Linked DNA regions of Saccharomyces cerevisiae S288C. Changing the gene in region 3 together with the main gene of any one other region gives a genetic interaction. Each region holds a gene or a part of one and is shown on either strand. Other genes may lie near its edges. The genes, in order: YKL069W, SWI5, TUM1 and ROM2.

The links.
Region 1: mutations in TUM1 (region 3) and YKL069W together harm fitness more than expected from each alone (negative genetic interaction), as found in Saccharomyces cerevisiae (2 studies listed by BioGRID).
Region 2: mutations in TUM1 (region 3) and SWI5 together harm fitness more than expected from each alone (negative genetic interaction), as found in Saccharomyces cerevisiae (2 studies listed by BioGRID).
Region 4: mutations in TUM1 (region 3) and ROM2 together harm fitness more than expected from each alone (negative genetic interaction), as found in Saccharomyces cerevisiae (3 studies listed by BioGRID, with this or other methods).

The regions. Positions count from the first base shown.
Region 1 is NC_001143.9:305,688-308,728, forward strand, and holds YKL069W (L-methionine (R)-S-oxide reductase), read left to right. Parts: upstream 1-1,597; coding exon 1,598-2,140; downstream 2,141-3,041. Other genes in the region: OSI1 (Osi1p), read left to right, coding at 1-197; YKL070W (uncharacterized protein), read left to right, coding at 524-1,033. UniProt on the Saccharomyces cerevisiae protein: Catalyzes the reversible oxidation-reduction of the R-enantiomer of free methionine sulfoxide to methionine. Does not act on S-enantiomer of free methionine sulfoxide or R-enantiomer of dabsylated methionine sulfoxide.
Region 2 is NC_001136.10:747,672-752,480, reverse strand, and holds SWI5 (DNA-binding transcription factor SWI5), read left to right. Parts: upstream 1-1,738; coding exon 1,739-3,868; downstream 3,869-4,809. Other genes in the region: bifunctional choline kinase/ethanolamine kinase EKI1, read right to left, coding at 1-850; TAF12 (Taf12p), read right to left, coding at 4,124-4,809. UniProt on the Saccharomyces cerevisiae protein: Determines the mother-cell-specific transcription of the HO endonuclease gene that is responsible for the initiation of mating-type switching in yeast. Recognizes a specific sequence in the promoter of the HO gene.
Region 3 is NC_001147.6:801,938-805,546, forward strand, and holds TUM1 (thiosulfate sulfurtransferase), read right to left. Parts: upstream 1,528-3,609; coding exon 613-1,527; downstream 1-612. Other genes in the region: cleavage polyadenylation factor subunit CLP1, read right to left, coding at 1-370; TMA16 (Tma16p), read left to right, coding at 1,730-2,266; peptide alpha-N-acetyltransferase subunit NAT5, read left to right, coding at 2,440-2,970; protein-transporting protein SEC63, read right to left, coding at 3,095-3,609. UniProt on the Saccharomyces cerevisiae protein: Sulfur transferase that accepts persulfite from NFS1 and transfers it to UBA4 in the pathway for 2-thiolation of the wobble uridine base of tRNAs. Stimulates sulfur transfer by NFS1.
Region 4 is NC_001144.5:860,978-867,725, reverse strand, and holds ROM2 (Rho family guanine nucleotide exchange factor ROM2), read right to left. Parts: upstream 5,013-6,748; coding exon 942-5,012; downstream 1-941. Other genes in the region: fatty acid elongase ELO3, read right to left, coding at 1-372; ARC18 (Arc18p), read left to right, coding at 5,472-6,008; Hsp70 family ATPase SSQ1, read right to left, coding at 6,201-6,748. UniProt on the Saccharomyces cerevisiae protein: Stimulates the exchange of RHO1 GDP-bound form into GTP-bound form.

The DNA.
Region 1 (3,041 bases), on a different chromosome or scaffold from region 3:
TTCACCCAGGTATGGTATCTACTGATATGGGCCAATATGGCCTTGATCATTTTAAAGAGAAGAATATAGACATCAGCGGCGTAAATATTATCACACCAGAAGAAAGTGCCTCTGCGCTAATTGATGTCTTCCGAAAAATTTTACCAGAAGATAATGGAAAGTTCTTCAACTATGACGGCAGCGAAGGCGTCTTTTAGATAAGTGCAAATTTGGCTACTTATATACAACTCAGATACGGAATATACCTTTGTGTAATACACTTTTTTATTGGTAGGTGCTATATGATGTGACTTTGCTTTTGCCTCACGCCCCTTTAAGAAGGTATTTTGTGGCATCACTTTGTATGCTGATCTTTTAACGCTTAACCAGATTTGAAACTATCTCTATTATGTCCTCTGATTTTAATTAGGATGGTATATAACTGGTCCTAGAACCGAAGATTCTGCATATTCGCCGAAAACCATCCCTTAATATTATAGACATAAATTGCCAGTCTGAGAAGAATCCAAGAATCTATTTCATAATGTACATTCCTAAACATTTTGAGTCCATGGAACTCTCAAGGTACAAATTATCAAAAAAACCCCCGCTAGGAACACTATTCTCCTCTAAGGCTAGCAGGCAAGGTTTCTTCGGATGGAGAACTTCTTCCAATAAAGATGACCCCGATTTTGGTATGTGCGCATCACATATTCCATTTGTATTCGTGGAGTTCGATAATGGAGAGCATAAACTTATTGCACATTTAGCACGGAAGAATAAACATGTGGAAATGCTGGAAAGAGTTCAAAAATGCTTAGTGGTATTTCAGAGCGTCGATTCATACATTTCTCCGGCGTGGTTCCCAATGAAGAAAAAGACCCATAAGTTCGTACCAACATGGGATTTTGCCGCTGTGCACGTTTACGGTACACCAAGGATTATCCGCGACGATAAAGACTGGCTTATTAATATGTTATCAACTTTGACTGACCAAGAAGAAGAGAAAAGACCTGAGGGGGAAAATGTACGAAGTAAAGTGGAGCGTTTCTGATGCCCCAGATTATTATATCAATGCTATGCTTCAAAACATTGTCGGGCTTGAAATCAGTATTACCCATATTCAATCAAAGTTCAAATTCGACCAAAATAAATCACAGATTAATGTTGAAGGCATATGTTGAAAATTCAAAGAATTTGGTGGAGAAAGAGGCCAAGAAATGGCTCGCCTTGTAAAAGATAACTATCCAGGTAGCTTATAAGTTTTGTATTTTCTCTGCGCATTAAATATCAATAATTATTTATTCGTTTTCATTCTTTTCTTATCTTATCTTTTAATATTGACTTAACAGAGGGCAAGGCCCACCGTGATGCAGAAAGAACACAAACGCAAAGGTTTACCTATTCCCTGCAGTTAGAAAACCATGTTTGGAGGAAATGAAGAAAGATATTTACAGTTGAGTTTACAACGAAGTATTATCCTTTTTAACGAACGCTAATATCATCGGTTTCTTCATGTTTATATGATGACGATTTTCCCAAATGTAAGCAAACAAAGGCGTTTGCTGATAAAACAAATCCGTAAATTAGAAAAAAAAACAAAAAAAAACAAACAGATATGGGCTCATCAACCGGGTTTCATCATGCCGATCATGTTAACTATTCTTCAAATCTGAATAAGGAAGAAATTCTAGAACAGCTTCTGCTTTCATACGAGGGGCTATCAGATGGACAAGTCAATTGGGTTTGTAATTTGTCAAACGCTTCGTCATTGATCTGGCATGCGTACAAGTCATTAGCTGTTGATATCAATTGGGCTGGATTTTACGTTACTCAAGCTAGCGAAGAAAACACACTGATATTGGGCCCATTTCAAGGAAAGGTCGCTTGCCAAATGATTCAATTCGGTAAAGGTGTTTGCGGAACTGCAGCCTCTACAAAGGAAACGCAGATTGTTCCAGATGTCAACAAGTATCCCGGTCATATTGCGTGCGACGGTGAAACCAAGAGCGAAATTGTTGTTCCAATCATATCCAATGATGGTAAGACATTGGGCGTCATAGACATAGATTGTTTGGATTACGAAGGATTCGACCACGTAGACAAAGAATTCCTAGAAAAACTTGCTAAATTAATTAATAAATCATGTGTCTTTAAATAAGAGTTTTGAGAACGAACAAGTATTTACGCACATAACCAATATTCCCATGTAGCTCTCTTGTCAAATATATTGTCGGACGGGCACGAATAGAGATAAACATCAAGAAAGATTGAGGGGCTTCAGGAGATCATTGGTGAAGAAAACATTCCCTGTTCGCCAAATTGACAGCTCTCAATCTTTATTTGTAACCCTTATTGCAAATTTATGGCATGTTTACCCTCAAACAAAGGATATTCAGCATTTATTAAAAATATCTTTGCTTGGTAAGAAAAAAACGTCAACGAAAATGACGGAGATATCTGACGGAAAAAAAAATTGATTTCGCCCAGGATCGAACTGGGGACGTTCTGCGTGTTAAGCAGATGCCATAACCGACTAGACCACGAAACCACTTAATTGTTGAATAACGGACATCTAAAGTCATATCTATAGTGCAGCAAGTTCTTCTTCAGCTCACCCCAGTCTCGCTAAAGGCATGCTTACTTTGCCGTAAAGAAGAAAGGAACGTTCAAAATGTGTTTGATGCGTAACTGTGATGATTTTCTATCATTTACTTGCATGATATCGGTGAAAATTCTAGCTAGATTTATCAATGCATAGAAGCAGTAAGTGATGCCACAGATATGAGCTTTTCTCTGTGGCGAGGTCTTTGAGAAATTAAGTGGCTTGTACAGTTTTCACATGACGATTGGAAATGTTGAAAAAAGAGCCTAAAAATAGGCCTTATCGAACAACATTAAACTAATAATCTTCTGGATGCGATAGTCTTACTTGATAAAAATCATTGGCGATATTGTGTTACCTGGATTATCAAGCTCGCCACTAAAGGTGTCTGGATCCTTACTCAATACAAAGTCCAAGGAAAGGTGTGCCACAGGAAGAGGTAGCATCCCTTTATTTC
Region 2 (4,809 bases), on a different chromosome or scaffold from region 3:
TCCAACTTGAACAGCGTAAATTTTCACTTATATTTACATTATTGGAAACCCACTCTTTATGCGAGTCTATTAATTTGATCCACTGATCAAAGGTTGTCCAGCATGACGGTTGATCCGTTATTTCTTTATGCGTTAATGGAACAGTACAATGCAACTCTTTCAATTTTTTAGCAATTTTTATTGAAGTATCCCGATCTATAAAGTCGGCTTGAGTAGATGTCCTCGAACCCTCAATGTATTTTTCAAATCTGCCATTTTCAAAAAACCCTTCTAGTTTGGGTCCTAAATCATAAAATGATAATCTCGCAATAACCTTTAATTCATACTCTCTATCAATTACAGAATCTATGCTATCACCAAAAATTCTCATCAGTAAAGGGGGTAAGTTTGGATAGTGAATCTTATAAATAACATTTGTAAGGGCCCCCTTGATTTGTGTCAAAGTTAATAAATTCTTATTCAACGAGGATTCTTTAGAGCCGGGCACAGACCATCCAGGAATCTCCAAGCTTTGTAAAACATTTATGATATCTTGTTTGAAATATTGAGATGGCAAAGACGGGTCTAATTTCGCGTTTACGTATGCCAGTTTGAGAAAATCATTAGCGGTTTGTGAAGTCCATGAGCTTGATGTCATCTCACCGTCTTCATTCGTGCATGTTATTGGCAGTTCATTTTTCAAGTCGACTTCTGAGTGCTCATTAGTATCGATGATGTGGATCACCCTCCTCGTTGGCTTGTCACAATTTGCAGACTGGCGCTTTTTCTTAGACATTTCTGGTGAGGCTGTGCCGACCAAGTAAGTTCGGGGCATTGCGTCACTGCTTGTAAGTGAATAATTGGTGTACATTATGCCAAATTGCAGATCTGTATCTGTTAATTTCTGCTACTACTTTCGTACAAACTATAGCTGCGTACCACAACAATTTAGTAATTTTGTGCCAATCTGTTATCTCAACAACGACATCTATTGTTTTGTAGATTTGCATACACTTTCTTTTGCAAACGACCTCCGGGTAGCCAAAACCCAAACGATATTTTTTTACTATCATCACCGTTTTCACATGCTGTCTAGTGGCCTAACTTATGAAACATAGTCAAACTACTTATAAAACTTCGGCAGTCAGACAGTTCTTTCATTAAATGGTGTCAAGTAGATATTTACGGCATTGGATTCTAGGGCCAATGTTATTTCTGTCTTAAAGGAGAGCGAATCAAATATCGGAGTGTTATTGTTAGATATTCTGAAAGGTAGTATGATTATCTGAAAGCCGATAGGAGTGGTACACTCCGCTCACACCTTGTTAAATATTCATTAGAACATCTCTGTTCCAATTCATAGCAGCATTGTTGGAAATATCTTGGTCTGAATCCCAATCCGGGCAAGTAGAGAGGATGAAATTTTCACTTTCGTACTTTAACCTGTTTAGGAAAAAGGTAAACAATAACAATACCTACCATTAGCGACTAATTATCTTTCTTTCTCCCTATAGATCTGCTCTATAAACAATGATTGAGTACTATAGAGGATCGTCTGCAATTTTATTCACTATTTATGTATTGGCACGGAAGACAAAAAGGCATCGTTGGAAGAAAGATTTGAGAACGACAATATAGATACCACCATATAACTCGTTCTTGGAGCTAGGTAAATAGATCCTGAGAACGTGTTTAACATCTGCGATATAATTAAAGCGCAATCAAATAAAATATTAACGTCATTGTTTTTTCGAAAAAGATGGATACATCAAACTCTTGGTTTGATGCCTCAAAAGTACAAAGCCTAAATTTTGACCTACAAACCAACTCTTATTACTCAAATGCTAGAGGCAGTGACCCTTCGAGTTATGCAATAGAAGGCGAATATAAAACACTAGCAACAGATGATTTAGGCAATATATTGAACCTAAACTATGGTGAAACCAACGAAGTTATAATGAATGAAATAAATGACTTAAACCTTCCGCTGGGACCACTTTCTGATGAAAAATCTGTCAAGGTTTCTACTTTCTCCGAGTTAATAGGAAATGATTGGCAAAGTATGAACTTTGACTTAGAAAATAATTCAAGAGAAGTGACTCTAAATGCAACTAGCTTGTTGAATGAAAATAGATTAAATCAAGACAGTGGTATGACTGTTTATCAAAAAACAATGAGTGATAAGCCCCACGATGAAAAGAAGATTTCCATGGCGGATAATTTATTGTCGACTATAAACAAAAGTGAAATTAATAAAGGCTTCGATAGAAACCTCGGGGAATTACTGTTACAGCAACAACAAGAGTTGCGCGAGCAATTGAGAGCACAACAAGAGGCTAATAAGAAGTTAGAGTTAGAACTCAAACAAACACAATACAAGCAACAACAACTACAGGCTACCTTAGAGAACTCTGATGGTCCACAGTTTTTATCTCCCAAAAGGAAGATCTCTCCTGCTTCAGAAAATGTGGAGGATGTATACGCAAATAGCCTTTCACCAATGATTTCCCCACCAATGTCTAATACTTCGTTCACTGGGTCACCTTCTAGGAGAAACAATAGACAAAAGTACTGCCTGCAGAGAAAAAACTCTAGTGGTACTGTAGGACCACTATGTTTCCAGGAATTGAACGAAGGTTTCAATGACTCCCTCATTTCACCAAAGAAAATTCGCTCGAATCCAAATGAAAACCTCAGTTCAAAAACCAAATTTATTACGCCCTTCACTCCAAAGAGTAGAGTTAGTTCAGCTACGTCCAACTCTGCTAACATTACCCCTAATAACTTAAGGTTAGATTTCAAGATTAATGTTGAAGATCAGGAAAGCGAATATTCAGAGAAACCTTTGGGCCTGGGTATTGAACTTCTTGGAAAACCAGGTCCTTCTCCTACAAAATCAGTGTCTTTAAAGAGTGCTTCTGTGGATATTATGCCTACAATTCCTGGGTCTGTAAATAATACTCCATCAGTCAATAAAGTATCCCTTTCCTCCAGTTATATAGACCAATATACACCAAGAGGTAAGCAGTTACACTTTAGCTCTATCAGTGAGAATGCATTGGGTATCAATGCTGCGACACCACATCTAAAGCCGCCGAGCCAGCAAGCACGACATCGGGAAGGCGTTTTCAATGATTTAGACCCTAATGTACTTACGAAAAATACAGACAATGAAGGAGATGATAATGAGGAAAATGAGCCTGAAAGTAGATTTGTTATTTCCGAAACGCCTTCTCCCGTTCTTAAGTCACAAAGTAAGTACGAAGGAAGATCTCCTCAATTCGGCACACACATTAAGGAAATCAACACATATACCACAAATAGTCCCTCAAAAATCACAAGAAAACTCACAACACTGCCCAGAGGTTCAATCGATAAATATGTGAAGGAAATGCCTGATAAAACATTTGAATGTTTATTTCCTGGATGTACAAAAACATTCAAGAGAAGGTATAACATCAGATCTCATATTCAAACACATTTGGAAGATCGGCCATATTCCTGTGATCACCCTGGATGTGATAAGGCATTTGTACGAAATCATGACTTGATAAGACACAAAAAATCGCACCAAGAAAAGGCGTATGCATGTCCCTGTGGTAAGAAATTCAATAGAGAAGACGCTTTGGTTGTGCACAGAAGTAGAATGATTTGCAGCGGTGGTAAAAAGTATGAAAACGTGGTAATTAAAAGGTCTCCAAGAAAAAGAGGAAGACCAAGAAAAGATGGAACTTCAAGTGTTTCTAGTAGTCCAATCAAAGAAAATATTAACAAGGATCATAATGGACAGTTGATGTTCAAGCTTGAAGATCAACTCAGAAGAGAGCGTAGTTATGATGGGAATGGAACGGGGATTATGGTTTCGCCAATGAAAACTAATCAAAGGTAAAAAAAAACATTGATGTTATGGACACTTTTTTTAATATTTAATAATAAAAACAAAATGAAAACAAGGAAAAAAAGTTTTTTTTTTTTTTAATTATGTATAATCTAAGTAAATAATATAGTATGAACACTTTAGATACAAAATATTAATTAATCAATTAATTTTAAAAAATTTCGCTTTATAGATACATATATAACAATGTGAACTATAACTTTAGGAATTTTTTCTGTGGAAGAGTGGAGAATGTGGGTAACATAATTATTTTTTTGTATTCAAGCTTGCAACATTGTTTCCATTGTTTTTTGCAGCTGCTACCTTATCTGATGTGATACTCTGCAATTTCTGGTTATAATTTTGAGAGGGATTCCATTTTCTTGTACTTCTTATTTCGTCTGCGGAATAACCAGGAATCCTAATATTCCAATTTCTCTCCAAATGTAACTGAATGTCTCTTGCCTCCAAATTGTCCGATTTTCTGTGTTTTGCCAATCTACAAGAAAAAGCTGTAACATTAGTAACAAAATCGTCGGCAAGATCCAATAGTAATTCCTCAACATCACCGTCAATGACAGTTTCACCGTCACCCTCATCAATTCCGACAGTCTTCACTAACTCTCTTAATTTACGCTTTGACATAACTCTCTGAGTATCCATTTCATAGGGTGGTAATTTAGTTGTTGCTGGTGTATTCAAAGCACTGGCATTCATAGCAGAACCTCCAGTTATTGTAGGTCTGTTGGATCTATAAGCTACCGGTGCTGGTGTTTTGGTAGATATATTTTCCGATATGGGTATGGCAGGCTCTGTTTGTTTGAATATTGCCGATTTGCTCGAACTTATATTATTCAACATAGATGCCGTTGCATTTACATTGGTTACCTTAGCTTTCGATTGTTCAGTCTGTGAAGTGTTAACATTGCCCCTGGGATTATTGGTGGCAGTTA
Region 3 (3,609 bases):
GGCCTTCAAAGTTAGACATTCGTATCTTCTCCAACATGAAGTGTAGATTATAAATATATTTCATAGTATGGTTAGGCTTGACAGTTATTGTATTCGTAGTTAAATCAGGACATTTCCATAATAATTCTGTTTCTTCGACAGCGTATATGGGAAACTTCCAGTTCTGAAAAGTGTACTCATCATCTACTGCCAACTCGGTGCCAAATATCTCAACTATGCCCGAGTTTACCTTGACTATCAGTTTTCCCTCTGCTTTAAGATCAATTTGCCAATCACTGCCCTTGGGAATAACCAACTTGTGCCATTCGTTATCACCAGTTATCAATTCTTCAGAGGTAGTATGCTCATCAATACCAGGTAGACTTGCCATGATGGTTTAATCGTGTTGGAATTTCGAAAAGAATTAATAGTTTGTTCTTTTCCCTCGATAGAAAGGTCTCTGCTCATTTTTGCCAGCAGTCTTATTTTTTGCTGTTATTTTCTATTTTACCGGGCAATAACAATGAAGAGCACAAATAAGACAAAGAAAGGGAGATCGCCCTTTAAGTAAGTAGATAGATAATTAATATATGTAGCTAAATAAATCGACTTGTCAAGAATATATTTCTCTTATTAATCTCTGTTTTCAGCAATCCACTCGGGCCCGGATTTCAAGACCCACTCGGTCCAGGATCCATCATATAATCTAACATTGGGAACTCCTGCTAGCTCCAATGCTGTCTTGATAATGACTCCTGAAACGCCAGTTCCACAAGAGCAAATAGTTGGTTTACTTGGGTCCAAAGTGCAATGAAAGTCTTTCAATGCCTTTTCCAAAGTAGCGTGTATCGCCTCCCCAGCTTCTGGGTACGTTTTGGTCTCCGGATCAAGTAAACTTCCATATGGTAATGGTTGGGTACCTGGAATATGCCCCGATGGAATGTCGGAACGAGGCTCTGGTTCTGTACCTTCGAATCTACCGAGCGACCTTGCATCGAAAGCATTGAATTTCTTAGCCAGTTCCCCACTCTTTACCAATTGGAACATTTCCTCATAGTCTACAATCTCCTTGTCTTGGAAACTTTCTGAGGACTCATAATGACTCTTTGGATAGGGTGAAAACGCTGCCACCTTAGAGGAATCTAGAGGGTACTTAAACTCTCTGTACTGGTTGAAATTATTTAGTAAGTACACCTTAGGATGTCCCATCACTCCTAATGTCCAAGCACATCTAGGGGAGCTAAAGTTACCAACACGATCGTAAACCACTAATATATCATCTTTTTGAACTCCTAAATTACTCATAGCGTCGTCAAAAACCTTCTTTGTAGGGAACATATGTGGATAGGGCGATTTTTTGTCACTGATTGCATCAATATCAAAGAAAATGGAGTTTGGTATACGTGGTTTGGTCAAGAAATCCACTTTATTATCAAGCTTCCAACTGGGTAGGTACCATGTTGCATCAACTGGAACGATTCTATGAACCTTCTCACTGGCCACTAACTTAACAAACGCTTTTGGAGAAATAAGATCAAATAATGGCATTGAATGTATGGGCAATTTTCTTCACAACTTTATGCTTTTGTCCTCATTGTTTGAATGCACTTACGCTGTATTATTGTACACAGCTGAACATCCCGAGCGAAAATTTTAAAATGGTTTAATAGACGAGATGAGAGATGAGCTCTTTAAAGGTACTTTCTAAGAAGAAAAGTATCGGAACAGGACTTACCACGACAAACTAATCATGCCGGTTACTAAATCTTTATCTAAGTTGCAAAAGAACTTATCCAAGAAAGGGAAAAATATCACGGTTCATCCGAAGGGTAGAAAGTATGAAAAGCTGGTCAGGGCTACTATGCGTGAAGATAAAATCGCAGCCAAAAAGAAGCTTCATCAAGACAAAAGAGTCCACGAACTAGCTCGGGTAAAATTTATGCAGGATGTAGTTAACTCTGATACATTCAAAGGGCAACCAATATTTGATCACGCCCACACAAGAGAGTTTATTCAAAGTTTTATTGAAAGAGATGATACGGAATTAGACGAACTCAAGAAGAAGAGGAGGTCAAACAGGCCACCAAGCAATAGACAAGTGCTACTGCAACAAAGGAGGGATCAAGAGTTAAAAGAATTTAAGGCGGGGTTTCTCTGTCCAGACTTGAGTGATGCGAAGAATATGGAATTTCTAAGAAACTGGAATGGCACTTTTGGCCTTTTGAATACTCTAAGATTGATCAGAATTAATGATAAAGGTGAACAAGTCGTTGGAGGAAATGAATAAGAAGTGTCGCAGAGGAATCTTTATGGTTTATATGCTCTTTATATAATTTTATGTATATTATAGTAGAAAAAGCAAAGAAAAAAAAGAAAATTGATATTATTAGCGAAGCTTTTTCACAAATTAATCCGTAACAAACAAATTGGCAAAGACAATTGAAGGGAGTAGTGCGAAATATGGGCCGTGATATATGCACATTAGACAATGTTTACGCTAACAATTTGGGCATGCTAACCAAACTAGCTCATGTGACAGTACCAAACTTATATCAAGATGCCTTCTTCAGTGCATTATTCGCTGAGGATAGCTTAGTTGCAAAAAATAAAAAGCCATCTTCGAAGAAGGATGTACATTTCACACAGATGGCTTATTACAGTGAAATACCAGTGGGTGGTTTGGTTGCTAAATTAGTTCCTAAAAAACAAAACGAACTATCTCTCAAGGGCATTCAAATCGAATTTTTGGGCGTGTTGCCTAATTATAGGCACAAATCCATCGGTTCAAAATTACTGAAGTTTGCAGAAGACAAATGCTCAGAATGTCATCAACATAACGTGTTTGTCTATTTACCAGCAGTGGATGATCTTACAAAGCAATGGTTTATAGCTCATGGCTTCGAACAAGTGGGCGAAACTGTCAACAATTTCATAAAAGGTGTAAATGGCGACGAACAAGATGCTATCTTATTGAAAAAACACATTTCTTAACAGATGGCTGAAAAATTTTTTTTTTTTTTTTGGTTTTGCTTTGTATACACATGTATCTATTTTTATAAAGATGAAATATATACGTCTAAGAGCTAAAATGAAAAACTATACTAATCACTTATATCTATTCTGGTGATTCATCATCTTCAGCTTCTGTATCCGTATCGATATCAGTATAATCGCTAGCATCACTTTCATCATCACTTTCGGTTTCGTCGTCATCAGTAGAGTACTCATCATCCTCCTCAGAATACACCTCTACTTGTTCCACTGCAGGAGAATCACGAACTTTCATATTCATGGTAATATCCAAATCTGTAGTGAAATAATCTGTGGATTTAACGATTACTCTAAAAAAGAAATCACCAACAGTTTCAGGTGCAGGCTGACCTAATGGAATTTTTATGGTCCCGATTTCCCAATCATTTATATCGAATTTTTCGTGTTTGGTTAAATCCATTTTTATCCTCTTATCAAAGAAATCTTTGTCATCGTTCAAGTTCTTGTAAGATAGCTTTTCAATGATAATTGGCGTTTGAAGTATTTTACCATCTTTTTGAGAACTTACCAGACAGCACCAACTCCCACGTCTCTTTGTAGGGAAAAATGGTGCAAAGGAATATGGGACGAGTGGCTGTT
Region 4 (6,748 bases), on a different chromosome or scaffold from region 3:
CAACCATAAAACTAGAGAAATAGAAGTCAAAAACAAGTTGTGTATCTCGAAAAGCAATTTAAACTTTAATGGAGAGGCGTTCAAGGCGCGTAAGATAGCTTGGCCACCAAAGATAATAATGTAATAAACGATAATAATACTAACAGCATGATACCCGTTAGCCAAGAAAGTCTTATTGTGAATAAACTCGAATTGCTCAGCTGGATAGCCACTAAAGTATTCAAACACTTTGGAGAAAATTGGCCATAATTCAATACCGAATGGGTTCTCAATGGAAGGAACATGAACCTTCAAGAAACATGAAGAAGAAGAGTTCAAAGACTGGAACTGGTCGGCAACTGCTGCTATAACAGTAGATGTGGTAGTGTTCATGACTGTTTATGTTTCGTAAACAAACGGAAAAAAGCCGAATAAATAAACTAGAAGTAAGCTTGAAGCGAGTGAAGAGCTGTCAAAAACCAATCAATGACCAAATAAAAAGACACCAGATATGCGGAAAATACACAGTACCTAACTGGGGTAATAAGTTAAATAAAACTTCAAACAAGGCTAAACAACAAACAGAAGACTCCAGATAAATATTTTATACAATTATTTACTAAGAACCTGTGAAAAAAAAAAAAGACAAGCCAAATGCGTAAGCCAACCTTTTGTTTATTCACAGTCTGGAAAATTTTCTGAAAATTTTTCACTTTGTGGACGGAATAAAAACTTCGAAGCTTTGGGAAGAAAAATTTCGCGTTTTTTTTTCTCGCGTCATCAATCATTTGCATACAAATCCCTCTGACGGTGAATTATCATTATTATATTATAAAATTATTATTTATGTCGTTTTCCACTATTGTCATCAATGTTTATTATTCATAATTCTGCTCCTTTTACAACTTTAGTTATGCTTTTTATTCTAAAGAAAATAAGGAAAGTCTATATACGTTGCTATCTTAACCCCAGAAATCTAACGACGCAACTGTATCATACCCGCGATAATCCTCGTAGCAGTACAGGATTTCTTGAGTACTTGTTTGTAGAAGTCGAATCTTATCAGCAAGGACGCAACGAATTAATTCGCCAGTTTCAATCTTTCTGATCTCAATGAAGTTGCTGTCGAATGCCAAGATGTACGGGTACCAAATTGCAAATTTTTGGGGCTCTCCCTCCCAATGAATAATATGCGATTCTTTCTTTCTCCAACCCTGATTATTGACAAAGAAGGCAAATTCTGTGTAACACAGCAAAAACATATTTCCCACACGATAGATTGCCATTGGTTTCAAAGTATCCCTTAGTGCAAACTCTAATGATGTATCGGCCGGATCTAACAAGGATTCATGAGCATTCTGTGAAATGCTAACGATCTGAAAACCCTTTTTACAGCCAATGCATAGGTTGGCCTTGAGAAATGAAATAGAGACAGGTTCAGAATCAAAAATAACCTCGGTGATTTTTTTCTTGAGACTTTTTTTGTTACCGCTACCACTACCATTTTTTTCGGCCAATAATGGATGTTCATGCTCGAAGTACTTAATTGAATGCGATGAACTGTGTGCAGTCACGATTAATCTCTTACCATTGCAATCTCCTTCTGCGAAGAAACTCACATGATTGATCAGTTCCTTGTGATGCTTTTTGAAGAAAGATGTCCCATTACCTTCTGCTTCGATTAATGACAGCGGACAACTGTATAATTTTTTATCAATTAAAAGTATGATTGATTTGAATTCTTCTAATACAGCAATTTGAGTGATATTATTTCTTTGTACTAGTTGGATTGGAGTTGAAAAAAAAGCAGAGCTTTTATGTCTATGATCTTTATTCTGCTGTCTTTTAATGTTGCTCATATACAATCCAGAGTTCGTTGCAATCAGAAGTTTTCTACCCCCATCACAGGAAGTAACACTGTTAATTTTGTTGGTGTAATCGAAGAACCTATCGCTCATTTTCGTTACATTGAACATCTCCGTTTTGCTTATAATAGCTGCTTGTCCTTGCTTTATTTTTTCCAAAAGCGTTTGCAATCCAGCGTATTGCGCAGCATATAATGTAACTTGATATCTCTGCTTGGCACCGTAGTATAAGAAAGTTATTGCGTTTTTAGGATTACTCGTGTTGTATTCTGGTTGAATTACAGTTCCTGAACAATCTGGGTGGTCTCCAATATATTTCCTCAACGCAGGCATATCTTCACCTGGACATGCAAATAACAATGGCAATGGAATGGGCCTTTGGAATACCTTATGCTGGTGCCATTTATTAACTGCTTTGGCCTTTAAAAATAAGAGCATATTATCTAGAAGATAAAATTGTATGTCACCAACAACTGTTCCGTCCGATTTTGACAACTCCTTCCGTGATAGTATACCTTCATGTTTAATTTTTCTCCTTTCGTCATTTAATCCTAAATTAACGTATTCGTTTTTGAAAAGAATCTTTTGTTTCAACAATTTTACATCATGTCTATCTTGTGCAGCACCACTTGCTTGATCAATCCTTTTCATAAAATCCCTTAATGCATCCATGGCTTTGCTTAAATCTTCATAATCACTTTTGTCCTTCTCGGGGTCAGTAGATTTCATGATTTCTTTGACCAATAGCATATATCGACCTGGTCTTGAAACACCTTGAGATAAAAACGAATCAATACCATGACGTAAGGAGGAGCTCATCATATCGTCATCAAATCTAGCAAAATAGGGATTGACTGATCTTTGGGTTTCAATCAAGTACTTCGCATATGGTCTTGAAGCGACATATGAAACAAATGGTTCAAAAAATGGAATGAATCTTAAAACAATGTCCCCAATTCCTCTCACAACTGGTGAACTTCTTTGCCTATCAGTTAAAGCCTTCAAAAAACGTCTATTCACTGAATAGATATCGTTTATATGTGCAAAAACATGCTTGATGAAATTTTTTCTAATATCTGCTGAAATAATATTTGTTTCAGCCAAAGTCTTCATGAATGTGTCTCTTGTAATTTCTAATGATTTTACAAAGTTCTTCTCCGTGATATAAACTTCATAAATAGCCTCTTGTCTTTTTATTTCCTTTTTTGGTAAGTTTTCCCAATCCTCTTTAGATACGGAACTTGTCCAAGATGGCTTTTCTTCGTCATCATCATCCAATGCCATTGATATATTACGTTTCAGGCCGCCATTTGGTTTCAGATTTAACCTTGCTTGTTGCTCAAGACGTCTTGGACACGAAATAGAGTAACACAAAGCGTCTCTTGTGCACGTAGGGGAATAGCATTCCGCCAGTAATGTAAACACACCATTGACGTTATGAATGGCTGCAGGGTTCTTTTGCTGGGACAATGAACTACTCATATGTAGCCTCGACCCTGTCAAAGTTGCCTGATCACTATTCAAAGATGAAGTTGAACTTGATGGAACCATTCCGGAATTCGGATAAGAGTGGTTCCCGGAATTAAAAGATGATGAGTTTGGGAGTAGCATCAGTGGATCATGGGCGTTTGTGGAACCTGTTCCTGTAAATCTTGAGTTATCTGTAAATTCGTAAACTTCATGTGGTGAATCTCTTAACCTGTGCTCGTATACCACATCATGGAACAGCTTTTGTGCATCTAGTGATCTACCAAATAACAAGGCTAAGTTTCTATCAGAAGTTCTAATGATAGCACAGATGACATCGACTGCCTGCTGCCCTGTAAATGCGTCACGGTAAACTAATCCATCCTTCTTATGTTCCCCGAGTTGTATCGAACTTTTAAATTTTGTGGCGACTCTTGACAACAAAGCTGGATATACCTGAGGTTTTTTTGATGAAGCGCTCATAACAGGTCTAGATGCCGACAAAGGTGTCATACTACTTCTACGTGGAGAAGATAGAGAAGTTCCTGAAACCGAAGTGTATCTTTTTAAAGCTAATGAGGTGGAAGAAACTCTCGTTTTAAGACCCAACCCAATATTAGACGAGCTTCCCATAACACTTGAGGAGTTTCCAGACCCGTGGACATTATTTAGGCTACTGTGACTGTTTGAAGAGTGATGATGATGATGATGATGATGAGGATCTGAGAATGGGTTGGAAGTTATATCATATTTTTGCGTAGCTTTCCTGCTGTTAGAAGTCTTCGATTGAAAAGATGATGCAATATTTTTTAGAGTAGATGAGTTCAACGACATCGATCTAGATGATATAGAATGTGAATGTTGAGGGTAATTACTGTTACTACTACCCACTTGATAATGTGCGCCATTATTATTAGTATTATTATTATTATGATTGTTAATATTATTATGCTGAATATGCTGGTGATGTTGGTGCTGTTCGTGCAAGTCTTTGGAACTTGGTCTCGAAAAGAAACCAAACCCTTGCAAAGGCGATTTTCTAGCCTGTGTAGGAGTGGTTGATGCACTGCCGGTGGAAAAACTGCTCTGCTTCTTAAGACCAGCAAGTGCTAGTTGCGGGAGCGAAGGTTTCCTCTTAGGCACAAAAGCTGTAGTACTTTTATTCTTCTGGTAAACTTCATTTCTTGGAGACATTGGAGGCAAAGGGTGGTCATTATAGTGCTTGGCTTGTCTACTAGCACTATTACTCGTTGAATATATATGGGACATCGATTTAGCATGAACAATGGGATGGGAAGATGTGGCATCTCTTGCCTTCTTTGGACTGCTCACAGGTGTATTATCAGCACTAGACAAACTTTGTGTATCTGGAACTTCCTTAATATTAGTCTGCTGCGATAAAATGTAATTTGAGCTTTTCCCCTTCATTTCGTTATTTGGTATATCAGAATCATCGATGGCGGCTTCAACTCCAGAACGTCTCCTCTGCTTGGCAATAATGATGTCATTAGCAATGTCTTCAGAAAGCAGAACATTTAGATTCTGGATATTTTCGATTCTATTAGGCAGCAGCTGAGAACTTATGTCTCCGTGCGAGTCACTATCAAAAGTAGCGAAGGAATCTGGCCTCCTTTCTACACCAAATATTTGGGAGTATATGTCATTTCTGTCCCCTAAGCTGTCAACGTTGGTTTCGCTCATAACCGCAGGAAAAGAGATGAATTGTCCAATTAAGTCAGCAGTAATAGAGCACTGTAATCGATTACACTAACAGAGCGAATGAATATATTAATGACCACAAACAACAAATAAAAAAATAGCTATAAAACAGCAAAAAAAAAATCCAGGAAAACCTAATCGGCTCAATACTGTTATTAAATTAGGTCGTCAGTACTCACTGGTCATAATGCCCTTTAAAAACTTTCTTCAAGCCTTAGGACCTCGGACTTCCATACCATTGTTTTCACTATCATTCTCTCTCAGTTTCACAGACTCGGCCGTTACGCGGATCATCCACCACGAACCCCTATCCTTTCCGTTGCGGTTTGGTTTAGTATAACAATGAATAACAATAAATTAAACACTTGGTGCGCAGTAACAAACATCAATAAAGGAAGATTATTGGTATTATCAGTCTCTCCACTCCCAGTATATTAATAAATGCCTGCGTATCACTCGACTTTCCCTGTAGATCCTAACACTGACCGCATGGTAGGGAACTTTGCGCTTCTGCCCTTGAACACTAAGTTCAGGGGTCCTGCATACCCCAGCAATTCCGATTACGATATTATCGACGAGTGCTTGGACCTATTTCGTGCCAATTCCTTCTTCAAGAATTTTGAAATTAAATCACCCGCCGACAGAGTGCTCATCTACGGAATTCTCTTTATCAATGATTGCCTAGCCCATTTGAAAATAACAACGTCATTTAACGAAGCCGTCAAAGTGTTAACCAATGTGGCCTTGGACAACTTTACTTTACCAGGTACACCGGGTTTCCCTCTGAATAATGTTTACCAAGTTCCAGTACAAGATCATAATTCGATGGACTTGTTGAAGACTTATATTCAGCAATTCCGTCAAGAATTGGCAATGAGACTATTAGAAAGAGTCTATAGCTCTACAGATTCTAAGGAATATCCCTCAAAGTTTTGGTTGGCGTTCACAAGAAGAAGATTCATGAACAAATCTCTATAAAGGTATACGGTGCAAGGAAAATAATAAAAACTAGAATTTATGGGAACATAATAATCCACATGCAACTTTATTTGAACCGAAAATTTGAAACGGGAAAGAAATATATAAATGTATAAAGTATAAATACGTCAAAATATGCTTTAATGAACGATATACACGTTAATATACAAGTCTTATTTGTGTTTTGTTCACTTATTTACCTTGATTCTGCTGGTTTTTTGTTGCGCTTTGGAATAATTTTAATGCCCTACCCTGTAGCGCATCCGTAGCTTTTTTTATTCCGTTTACATCAATTGACATGTCATTTTCGTTAGCCTTAAAATTCTTTATAGCTTGTCTCAGAGCTTTGATGTCCTCTACGATATTAGAATACTCTTTTTCGCTAGAAATCAGTTTTTCATATCTTTTAAATAAATTCTCAGTATCACTTATCATAATGTCAGCCTTAGAGATAAGCTCTAACCTTTGCCTGATCAAGTTATCTTGTGCCCTATTTGCATTTGCTTCTTCAATAAGTTTTGCAATTTCCTCTTCGCTTAACCCAGAATTTGGTATTACAGTAATGGATTGTTGTTTCCCACTACTTTTCTCAGCGGCAGATACGTTGATGATACCATCCGCATCGATATCAAAAGTAACATATATTTGGGGAATGCCTTTAGGCAAAGGGGTGATTCCTGTAAGTTTCAAATCACCAATCAACTTGTTGTTACGCACTAACCCTCTTTCACCCTGAAAAA